2 linked regions of the Oryzias latipes genome follow. The protein of the gene in region 1 interacts with the protein of each later gene in a biochemical or structural test. Links are inferred from orthologs where the notes say so. Each region holds a gene or a part of one and is shown on either strand. Other genes may lie near its edges.

Region 1 (5,145 bases):
GTACTGGAGAAGCTACAGTTAGCAACATTGAAAATAAACGGCACTTATTTCATCAATCATACTTTAGAACCACATTCATTCAATGTTTTTTCTTGTACTGAAATATATTTTGGTGTCAAATCAAACGTTGACTCTTACCTTTCTATATTTGAAGTCACCAAAATAAAAGCACTATGAATTTTTTGGGTAAAAGCAACTTGTGTATGAAATACAGATGCAGCTTAACATTGTGATCATTAATTAAACTGATTTTAACCATTTTATTAAAGTTGGAATGTTCTAAGTCATATATAAAAAAGAAAGAAAGAAAATGTGTTCTGGTACTATATCGGGATGCGTGTCGTATCGCCAGACTCTTGCAGATACACACCCCTAGTCTGAACGGTTGTGTTGTTGTTGTGTTGTGTGTCCTGTGCAGCACGGCAGGACTCCTCTCCACCTGGCGGCTAAAAACGGGAGCCTGGAGGTGGTCCGGCATCTCTGCCTGGCCGGCGCCAACATCGACGCCGTCACCAACGTAAGCGGTTCTGCAGAAACGGTCCGTGGTTCCAAACCGTCTATGAAAAACCACCTCAAGGTTGTTAGTTTGAGCTTCTAGTCCTGACGGAACAACCCGGTTCTGATCCAAACCGAGCCTTTCATCAGAGACAATGCTGGTTTTCTTTGACATCTTTGTTTGTCTTCATCTTTTCTGGATGGTTGTGGTGTTTGGTTGCACTGCTTGATAGCTTTGGTTCAGCTCGGTTCAGCTCGCAGACCCGTCCCTTCAGGTTCTGCGCTGTGAGAACGGTTCCTCCAGAACGTTTAGGCAAATCTCTGCTGCTGAAGCCTTCAGGCTCTGAAATGAAAGATCACAGTTTTCTGCTGAAAAGGCTCTAAAATGCTTCAATGTCATGTTTTTACAGGTAAAAAACAAACCTTAACCTCATTTAACCTTCATTGTTCTTCCTGCTGAAACTGAAACGTCTTCTTCCTGGTTTTGTGGTTAAATACCTCACATGGGGCGGCGTTTTGAAAGAGTTTTCATGCTTCCAAATAATTTTGCGTTTGCATCACCGACCTGTATTCGAGCAGCTTTTTGTCTTTCTGTTTCGTTGGGGTCACTGGAACATCCTCTGGCTCGGCGCTGCGTCTTAGACGGCGTGCACGGATGACGATGGTAAAAAAAGTCTGAATTGATCCTTTTTGGAGGAGAACAGCTGCAGTTTGCCTGGACGGTGGTCTGTTGGCTTTAAAGTGATGGGGAACTGGTTTAGCTGTGGTTCTGAGTCTTCAGACGAACGAGCGTCACTCCTCGCCCCTTTTTCTCCAGAGGCTAATATTGAATGACAGCTGATCTATGATTCACGTCCAGGCGTCTTCAGGCTCACCTGCTGAGGACAGCGATGAGCCTCAGCAGTTCTTCAGGCAGCCGTTTCCTCCATTTACATGAAATAAAAGGCAGATTTTCAGGAGCTGGGGTTTGGATTCTGTTGGACAAATGACCAACACGTCACAGGAAAACACTGCAGCCAAAATCTGCACGAACGCCACTGATGTTCCTCAGGTTTTTAGGAGTCATGAACAGAGTCACAGCAGCTTCCAAAGCCAAACGTTGCTCCGCTGCTGCACCATCTGGCTGTCAGAGTCACTTCTGCCTGTAGAGATTTCCTCTTTTCTTCCTTTCAGGACGGAAAGACGGCCGAGGATTTGGCCTCAGCTGATCGACACGAGCCCATCGTTTCCCTGCTGTCAAAGCTTAAGAAGGTAAAGAAGCAGAAACGTCCCAAAAGTCTTTTCTGTTGCATTTCTGAGGGCTTCACTGCAGATGATGACGCCACACGGCTGCTCTTTGGTCGCCTTTCTACAGCCACACTCGATCACACGTGAAGCTTTTAGCTTCAAATGTTATGTTTTGGAGCGTCTTCCATGAAGCTTTGGGGCTTCCAGGCTTCAGCCGCCTCGAGCTCAGACGGTACAGGAGCCGACGTCGCCGCGGTTTGATCAGGAAACCCGCCGAGACATAAAGGCGAGCGTGAAAAGCCGCGAGCAGGAGCAGCGAAAACTGTCGTCTTCTGCATACGTTCAATACGGTCAGCTATTGTAGGAACCAGAATCTTCTACTTTCAAACAGAAACAGAGAATTCTGCTTCACCTCAGTTCCAGAATGATTAGAAGATGCATTTTTTGAGAGCAGCTTTGGTTTGAGGAGCTTTTCCTCCCACTCAAACGCTCCGTGTCAGAGGTGGCGATGACTCATTTGGCAGACGGGAGAAGTAGAAACGATGGAGAGTCCACAGCAGAAAGACGTCTCTTTTTGCTTTCTGATGTTTCCTCTCCTTCTGGGCCAGGACAACCTCAAGCTGAGCTTCATCCAGCAGCTGCGGCCCACCCAGAGCGTCCAGCCCAGAATCAAACTGAAGCTGTTCGGGCACTCGGGGGCCGGGAAGAGCACGCTGCTGGAGTCTCTGAAATGCGGCATCCTGCGCAGCTTCTTCAGGAGGAGGCGACCGCGCGGGAACAGCACAACCCGCCACCCCAACTCCCCCGTCAGCTCCAAGCCTGCAGGTACCAGACGCTCCTCTGATGCCCCTCCTCTGGAGGTACAGCAGGAACTTCACAGAAACTTGGATCTGAACCGAAATCCTCTTTTATGACAAATGTGCAGAGAAATGCCTCTTTCTGCTCACAAACATGGCATCTGTCACATTTTTTAAAGGCTAACACTCTGGTTCCCCCTAGTGGAAGTATGAGGAAAAGCACCACAGCGAACATGAAGGTTCATTCAGAAAAGCTGAAAAATCATCAACTTGACTTTAAAAGTCCTCTGTGTTTCAGTCGCACGGGGGACTTTTATTTATGTTATGTTAAGCAGCTTCATTAGAAGACAGACTCCTCCCACCAATGACCTTTAACTTCCTGATTCTGCAATGAAATGAAGAAAGTTCTAATAGAACCTTCAGTCTCTGTTCAAACACGTGCACACCCAAACACCGTGGATATGCAAGCATTAGTGCACATACAAGCATACGCACACTCATGCATTCTATGCATGTGCACACGCTTGCACACATACCCACAAGTACGCACAAACACACACGCATACTAGCAGGAATCCACTCCATGTGTGTGCACCTGCTTGAACACACAGGGAGATTTATGCACACGTGCATGCACACTGTGCACATGCATGCACACTCATACAGACACTGCATTAGCACGCATGTGCAGAGTGGACATGCATGTACTGCATGTGCACACACACTTTGGTGTTTTAATTCCAGTTCTCAGCTTTTCTTGGTTTTAGTTTGAAACAGCAGCAGATGGAGCTTTTTTTCAGGATTGTTTGGTTTCTAGAACCCGCTCTGACCGGCCTGCCTTCCTCCCCTGTCTGAAGTGTCGGTGAGCATCTCCAACTTGTATCCGGGCTGCGAGAACGTGAGCGTCCGCAGTCGCAGCATGATGTTTGAGCCCAGCCTGACCAAAGGCGTCCTGGAGGTCTTCTCTCCCGTCCACAGCGGCCTGTCCACGGCCGACGAACAGGCCACCAAAGCCATCGACATCCAGCACGCCAACATTCACGGTGAGGCGCCGACGGGCCGCTCCCGTCCATCTGCCTCCACGCGTGTTAAACTGCGGCCTGACCTCTGCAGGCGTGGGGGATTTCAGCGTTTGGGAGTTTTCGGGAAACCCCGTGTACCACTGCTCCTACGACTACTTCGCCGCTGATGACATCACGGCGATCCACCTGGTCCTGTTCAGCCTGGAGGAGCCGTACGAGACGCAGCTGGGCCACATCACGTACTGGCTGAACCAGCTGAAGGCGCTGACGCCGCCACAGGACAGCATCGGTGCGTCCCAGAGAAGCCGCTCGTAAAGTGTCGGACCGCTCTTCCCGGCGGTGAGGGTGACGTCTCTGTTGTCTTTCAGTCTTCGGAGGACGGATCCCGCAGCCGCTGGCCGCCGTCCTGGTGGCGACGCATGCGGACCTCGCCGGCGTTCCCAGGGCTTTCTCCGGAGAGTTCAGCTACGACAAGGAGCGGGCGCTGCTGAAGGAAGTCAGGAACAGGTGGGATCCAAAGCCAGGTTCACCTGTCCCATCTATTTCTGAACTATTAGTGGATCTGATCAGCTGATTGATCACAAAGAAGTCTTCCTCAGTTTCTGTTCAGATTCATTCTAAAGCTTCATCCATCAATAAATAAATAAATAAAGTCAATCTCAGGATTTCTTCATTTTCTTTATTTATTTTTTTTTTAAGAAACTTCCTTCCTCAGAAATAGTTGCACCAAATCTCTTCATCTTCACCCTCATCTTCATCTTCTGCTCCTGCAGGTTCGGGAACGACCTGCAGATCAGTGACAGGCTGTTTGTGATGGACGCCGGCGCCTCCAACTCCAGAGACGTGAAGCTGCTGAGGAGTCACCTGCAGGAGCTCCGCGCCGCCGTCATCTCTGTGAGCTCACGCACGCCGCTCGGGAACGCTGTTTCATCTGAAACGTGTGAAAAACCGACTGAAGTAGAAAACGGATCTTTGTTTGTCTAAAAGCTATAAAAACTGAAAGATATCAAACAAACGAACAAAAGGCTAAAAAAGACTTTGATCACAAAGTAGTCATTATTTTATTTCTGTTCTTTTGATCCTCATTCTGTTAATCTTATTTTAACATTAGAATTCAACTTTTGACAAAAGTTAAAAAAGTGAATTTCTTTTGAGTAAAATGCAGCATCCATTCATCCATCCATCTATCCATCCATCCATCTATCCATCCATCCATCCATCCATCCATCCATCCTTCATCCATCCTTCATCCATCCTGCCACACATACATACCACTAACACAGGGCTCCAGACTGCGAGCAATTGGTCGCATTTTGCGACCAAAATTTGAGAGTGTGCGACTGAATTTTACATCCAGTCGCACATGTACTACCAGTAAATTTGCTTCCCCCACCCTACGTATTTTTTATACATTAAACGTGGAAGGGGCACGTCAATGATCAATGAAATAATCAATGAGACGCAAGCCCACACGGACGCAGGCAGACACATACACACTCGCGCACATACTCATGAAACGCGAGCACGTACACACTCGCGTGATACCTGTCTGTGAGGCGGCCACTGCGTGAGAGAAGAATAGGGAAAGCCACTGTGAGTGGCTA
Region 2 (5,145 bases), on another chromosome or scaffold:
TCCACTGACGGATCCTGAACTGTACTCTGAATACAAATGTTTGAAGCTTCCGGGTGAAAAAGACAGCAACATGCAGCACGGGATGCTGGAGACACAAACCACACAGGTAACGTGTGACTGCCCCAAAAACACATCTGTGGTTAAACATTTAGGACACTTCAAAGTTGTTTTAAATATTGTTCCCAGTCTGGAAGACTTTTTGCAAAAGTTTCAATGTGCCTCACCTCCACCCATCTGGTCAACATCAACTGTGAATAACAACAATTGGGATTCCCGCTGAAATATTCCCCACATCTATTTTCTGCAGCAAATGAGGACTCAGCATTTTGTTGATGGAGTAAACAGCAGCCAGCATAATGGTGTTAGCTCATATTACAGGATGAGGTGTAGTGAGAAACACAGTTAAGATCTAATGCATCAGAAACAAGTGAAGAGGCTGTAATTAAGTGCATTTACAAATGCATTTTAAAATGTAGGTTAAAGACCCATTATGGGAGAAATAATTGTGTTTTGGGCGTTTTTAACATGTTCCTCTGGCATTTTTCTGCTAAAAATTTAATTTCTGCAGTTTTCTCTTTTTAAATTGTTGTGAATCAGGAACAGAAGGAAAAAGGCCGTTTAAAAAAGACTTGCTCCACTCCATTCCAATGCGTCCAGAAAAATAAGCTGCTATTTATTGGATTAATTAGATCCAAGAACAAAATGAGACGAAATAAGATTATCTGCGTTCTGTCATTTACCTTTCAACAATGTTTAGGCAGGACACGCCATCCTGTCCTCCCACAGCATACAGATAACCACCCAGCACGGCGACGCCCACACTGGTGCGACATGTGCTGGTAGGGGCCACATCACTGCTCCACTGGTTTGTCTTTGGATCATATCTGGCAGTAAATAAAAAACAAAATGAGACAAATAATGTAACTAATGATGTACAGAGGAAAAGCGGTCAAAAGCACTGATCAGAGAAAACCGCCAGGACTCAAGTAACAACCTTTCCACAGAGTTGAGATAAGACGAGCCGTCGTGACCTCCCACTGCGTAAAGTAAGTCATCCAAGACACTAACTCCAACTCCACACCGCCGTTTGCTCATGGACGCCACCATGCGCCACTCGTTAGTCTGCGGGTCGTAGCGCTCCACGCTGGAAATGGCATCTCCACTGCACCAGCCCCCGACTGCAGAGCAAAGAGTACAGAGAACATAGCATGAGAATAAATAGCAGAAAGCTAAAAGTTTAATGGACTGACTTCTTCTAAAAACGGTTTTCTGTTCCAACCTACGGTGGCCTTGAAGGGCAAAACACATCAACAAATCACTCGACTCTAAACCAGATTAAAGATCACAGCAACAAAATAAAACAGAAAAAAAAAAATAATAAAAAATCTATTTACATTTTATCACAACAAAATTACAGAAACCAAAACATAATTTAAAAAAAAAAGAGAAATGTTTTGGAAATGAAAAGCAATTTTTCGGAAAAAAAGAAACATAAAACAGTAGGTTTCATGGGACAGTGACTGGATCATGACGTTTGTTCACCTTTTCAACTGGAGGTTATTTAGCATGGCAATATCTGCTGACAAGATATTTCTTCAAACCTTCCTTAAGCCACCTATTCTTCAAAACTCAAACATCCTCCTTCAATCAGTGATGTCCCCGGATAAATTCCCTATTTCCGGTTTCTAATTTTCTTTCATTTTTGACCATTTCAGTTTGATGTCTGGAAATGACTTTGGTTTTCTAAAGTTTAGTGGGGTTTTTTAATCATTTGTTTTTCTGATTGTTGTTGTGATCTTTATTATATTTGTTTGTGGTTTGTACTTCAGGGCCACCGTACTAACCTGCAAAAAGAACCTCTCCACATCGGATGGGTTTCCTGGGCCGGGTTCTGGGACCCTGCATCAGCGGCCTCTCCTGTGGCAGCAGCAAGTAATTCTTGGCTTCGTCTACGAGATCTCTGAGAAAATGCAGGAAAACAAAGCGGTCGAGTCCATTTTTGTGTCGTCTTCAATATTTGTCATAATAAACATCATTTACAGAAACTTGAGTGGAGTCTTGGATGCAGATCCCACAAAACCCCACCCACCTGCACTCCTCGTCACTTTTAATGAGTGGGTCTGAACCCACAGTTCCAACTAGAAACTTGGGGCTGAGCAGCGGCAGACGGACATGCTGCAGGACCTGCAGAGCATGCAAAAGGTGAAAGGGCGCTCACACATCAGAAGCCAACCGTGTCCCTTTATAAGCAGAAACACTATGGGCTTCAACAAACCTGTGGCAGCTGAGGCCTGCGCTCCTGGATGCTGTATTTGACCCAGGCCATGACAGCATTGAAGACCTGCTCTTCGCTGCGCACGTTCAGCTCGTCGCTGGAGATGATGTCAATCAGCTGGTTGGCAGGCAGCAGCATGAACTCTTCACTTTCCATTACCTACGGCATCACAATGCAATGCAGAATTTCTTTAAGTTTCTCCTCTTCCACCAGAGAATCAGGTTTAACAAAACAGACTTTACTTCTTCCTCCTCTTTTGATTTGCAGCTCTATGAAGCTGATATAGAAAATACGTTTTGCGGCTAAAAAAACTGCAACAGTAAAAACAATGAACTGTACTCAGTCAATGCTTTTTGTTACGTCCCTACGTACCGCTTGATGGATCGTTGGAGTATTATGGGCACCGTGGTCAGGAACCTCGCAGAGTGGTATGTTATCTTTACTATTTTAAATGAAAAACTTTATATATTTTTCTTTAACTGCTGCACTAGAGGGGTAAAAGAGCCACATAAGTCTACAGAGCTTTAGGTTACAGCGCCCTGAACTAAACTGATGAAACTGAACAGACTAACGGATTGCTCCAAAAAGACAATCAGTAATATTAATTCTAATACAGCCTTCACAGGAGGCTCTCTACAATAATGCTCTCACCTCCTGAAAATTGTGCTGTGTGAACTTGTCTGCGATGCGCAGCAGCTCCCTGCAGGAGTGCGTGTCTGCGAAAGCCCTGATGCCCAGGCAGTTGGATGGATCCAGCTGCCTTTTGAGGAACTCACAGCAGGCCTCCTGGATCTCAGCCAGCTGGAGAAGGCAGGCGGCGGGAAGCAGCGTCTGGACGTTTCCCTCCTCTACAATCACCTGGGAGAACACAAGAGACGCCTTTTAAAGGTTTTAGGACTGCATGAAGAAAAAAATACAAATCACTCATGCAGTGTATGTCTATTTCTAGATTTCTAGATCTATTTCAATTTTAAGAGGGAACCTTATTCTGCTCTGAACAAACGATTGTTAGGTGCATGATCATCAAAATGTCTGCAGATTCTTCAGGAAAGGAGCAGCCGTACATGGAGATTTATTGAAATATAGAAATGTGCATAAATGATTAGTTGTTAATCTTAATCAGATTTTCTAATTTGTCAAAGTTTAAAAAAAGCCAGGATATAAAGCCAAAACAATGAGACTGTTCCCTATTTTTTCTCCAACTATGACTATACATTTACTTGGTTTTGATAAATGTGTGGCAAGTCTTTTGGTTTATTTGAAAGCATTTTAAAGTCACTTCTCAAATGGAACTACTGTATACAGGTTTGGATTTTGTCCAAAAAGTTTTATTGAAGAAATATCGACAAGCATTATCCTATTTTTCCCCCTTTAGCTTCATCATGTTCCTGCATTGAAATGAGGGTTGGAGCCGTTTTTACAGCTCTTACCTGAGAGGTGTAGGCAAAGTCAATAAGCAGCTCCATGGCTCTCTCATCGATGTCCCGGATCACCACTTCAGTCTGTCTGCTCTCTGCCAGCTCTCCAGTAAACATCGCCCTAAAAACATCAGTCAAACACAAACTCAAGCACAAGCCTTTAAGTTTCATCTAAAGGAGGGTCAGCGCGACTCCACAGTCTTCTTTCCTACCTGAAGTAAGGGCTGCAGGCAGACAGGATCACACGATGAGCATAAATCTTCTTGGCGCCCACCACCAGCACCACGTCACAGAGTTCTCGGTGTTTCCTCAGCAGGTTGATCACTTCCAGAGTCTGCCGCGGGTGTTTGTCTGAGACGTACGGCATGCGTGCTGGCTGGGGGACCCCTTCAGGGAGCTTGTTGGGGTCCCCCAGAGTACAGCGACTGGTGATGTCCATTCCAGTGGTGTCTTGACGTGCGCTAGTGGCCCTTGACGAGAAGAAACCGTGCCGATTATTAACTACATGCATGGTTTGAACGTGGTATGTGTCACAAAAAGGCAACTTTTAATGAAATGTTTAGGTCCCACTTCAATCACTTTTTGAGGTTTTTTTAACAGCTGATCAGTCTGCAAGCATAAAATGAATATTTAAAGGCCCATTAACCCATAGGCTGAAACTTGAAAAGAAATCATTGAACCTCTGCACAAACAATCTAGATAAAAAGCTTTTTTTGGAACAAAATTAGATGTTTTATGGTCATCATTCAAGTTAAGGTCATATAAGAAAATAAGTCTAACTTTTTGTCACATACCCTGTTTTTCCCTTATTATTTTTACATGTTAATAAAACCTTTTGACCTAAATAAACAACCACCGTCCTGTCCTAGAAACCCTACGTATGTCAAGGAAAACATCTGGAAACTAAGGACCCTTTGGCAGAAACTACACAATCACACAAGCTAAGAAAGAAGGACACTTAATTTTCAGCAAATATTTAAAAAAAAAATGAAGATAAAAAATATATTTTGCATTTTACAGTGATGACATAAACCTGGATTCTTTCTAAGAACCTGAGGATGAGAACAAAATGAAATCTACTGGAGCCAGTGCCCCTCAGACGTAGCATAAGGTGTAACCGTATCCACACAAGTCACTCCTCCCAGTGTATCACTACCACCTTTTTAAAGCTGTTGACACGGGAACCAGCCAAGACTTCCTGGCACCCGCTCATGTCCACTTAAACAGCTGTCACCCTAGGGAGGCTCACAACTCCCACAGGCATTTTTCTGCAAGACCTTTACAAGTTTTTCCATTTTAACTAAATCTTTACAAAGCAGTTCCGTTTTTCGGTAGCACTTTAATGACGGTGTGTATAATTAGGAATTGTGTGATGTAATGTCACTTAAGCTAAGTCTGGCAGATGGACTCCACCTCAGCTGTGCTACTAAAAGGGCAGAGCTGACGGTCAAA

What was found. The genes of interacting proteins can lie anywhere in the genome.
Region 2: the proteins of dapk1 (region 1) and klhl20 are reported together in a solved structure, tested with the Homo sapiens proteins (2 studies listed by BioGRID and IntAct, with this or other methods). The link is inferred for Oryzias latipes from reciprocal best matches to the Homo sapiens genes DAPK1 and KLHL20.

What each region holds. Positions count from the first base shown.
Region 1 is NC_019867.2:1,289,716-1,294,860, reverse strand, and holds part of dapk1 (death-associated protein kinase 1), read left to right. Parts: intron 1-418; coding exon 419-517; intron 518-1,668; coding exon 1,669-1,746; intron 1,747-2,330; coding exon 2,331-2,547; intron 2,548-3,376; coding exon 3,377-3,562; intron 3,563-3,632; coding exon 3,633-3,830; intron 3,831-3,909; coding exon 3,910-4,048; intron 4,049-4,314; coding exon 4,315-4,435; intron 4,436-5,145. UniProt on the Homo sapiens protein: Calcium/calmodulin-dependent serine/threonine kinase involved in multiple cellular signaling pathways that trigger cell survival, apoptosis, and autophagy.
Region 2 is NC_019875.2:20,576,419-20,581,563, forward strand, and holds part of klhl20 (kelch-like protein 20), read right to left. Parts: intron 4,164-5,145; coding exon 3,906-4,163; intron 3,815-3,905; coding exon 3,706-3,814; intron 3,134-3,705; coding exon 2,927-3,133; intron 2,435-2,926; coding exon 2,276-2,434; intron 2,185-2,275; coding exon 2,090-2,184; intron 1,961-2,089; coding exon 1,845-1,960; intron 1,179-1,844; coding exon 995-1,178; intron 885-994; coding exon 741-884; intron 1-740. UniProt on the Homo sapiens protein: Substrate-specific adapter of a BCR (BTB-CUL3-RBX1) E3 ubiquitin-protein ligase complex involved in interferon response and anterograde Golgi to endosome transport.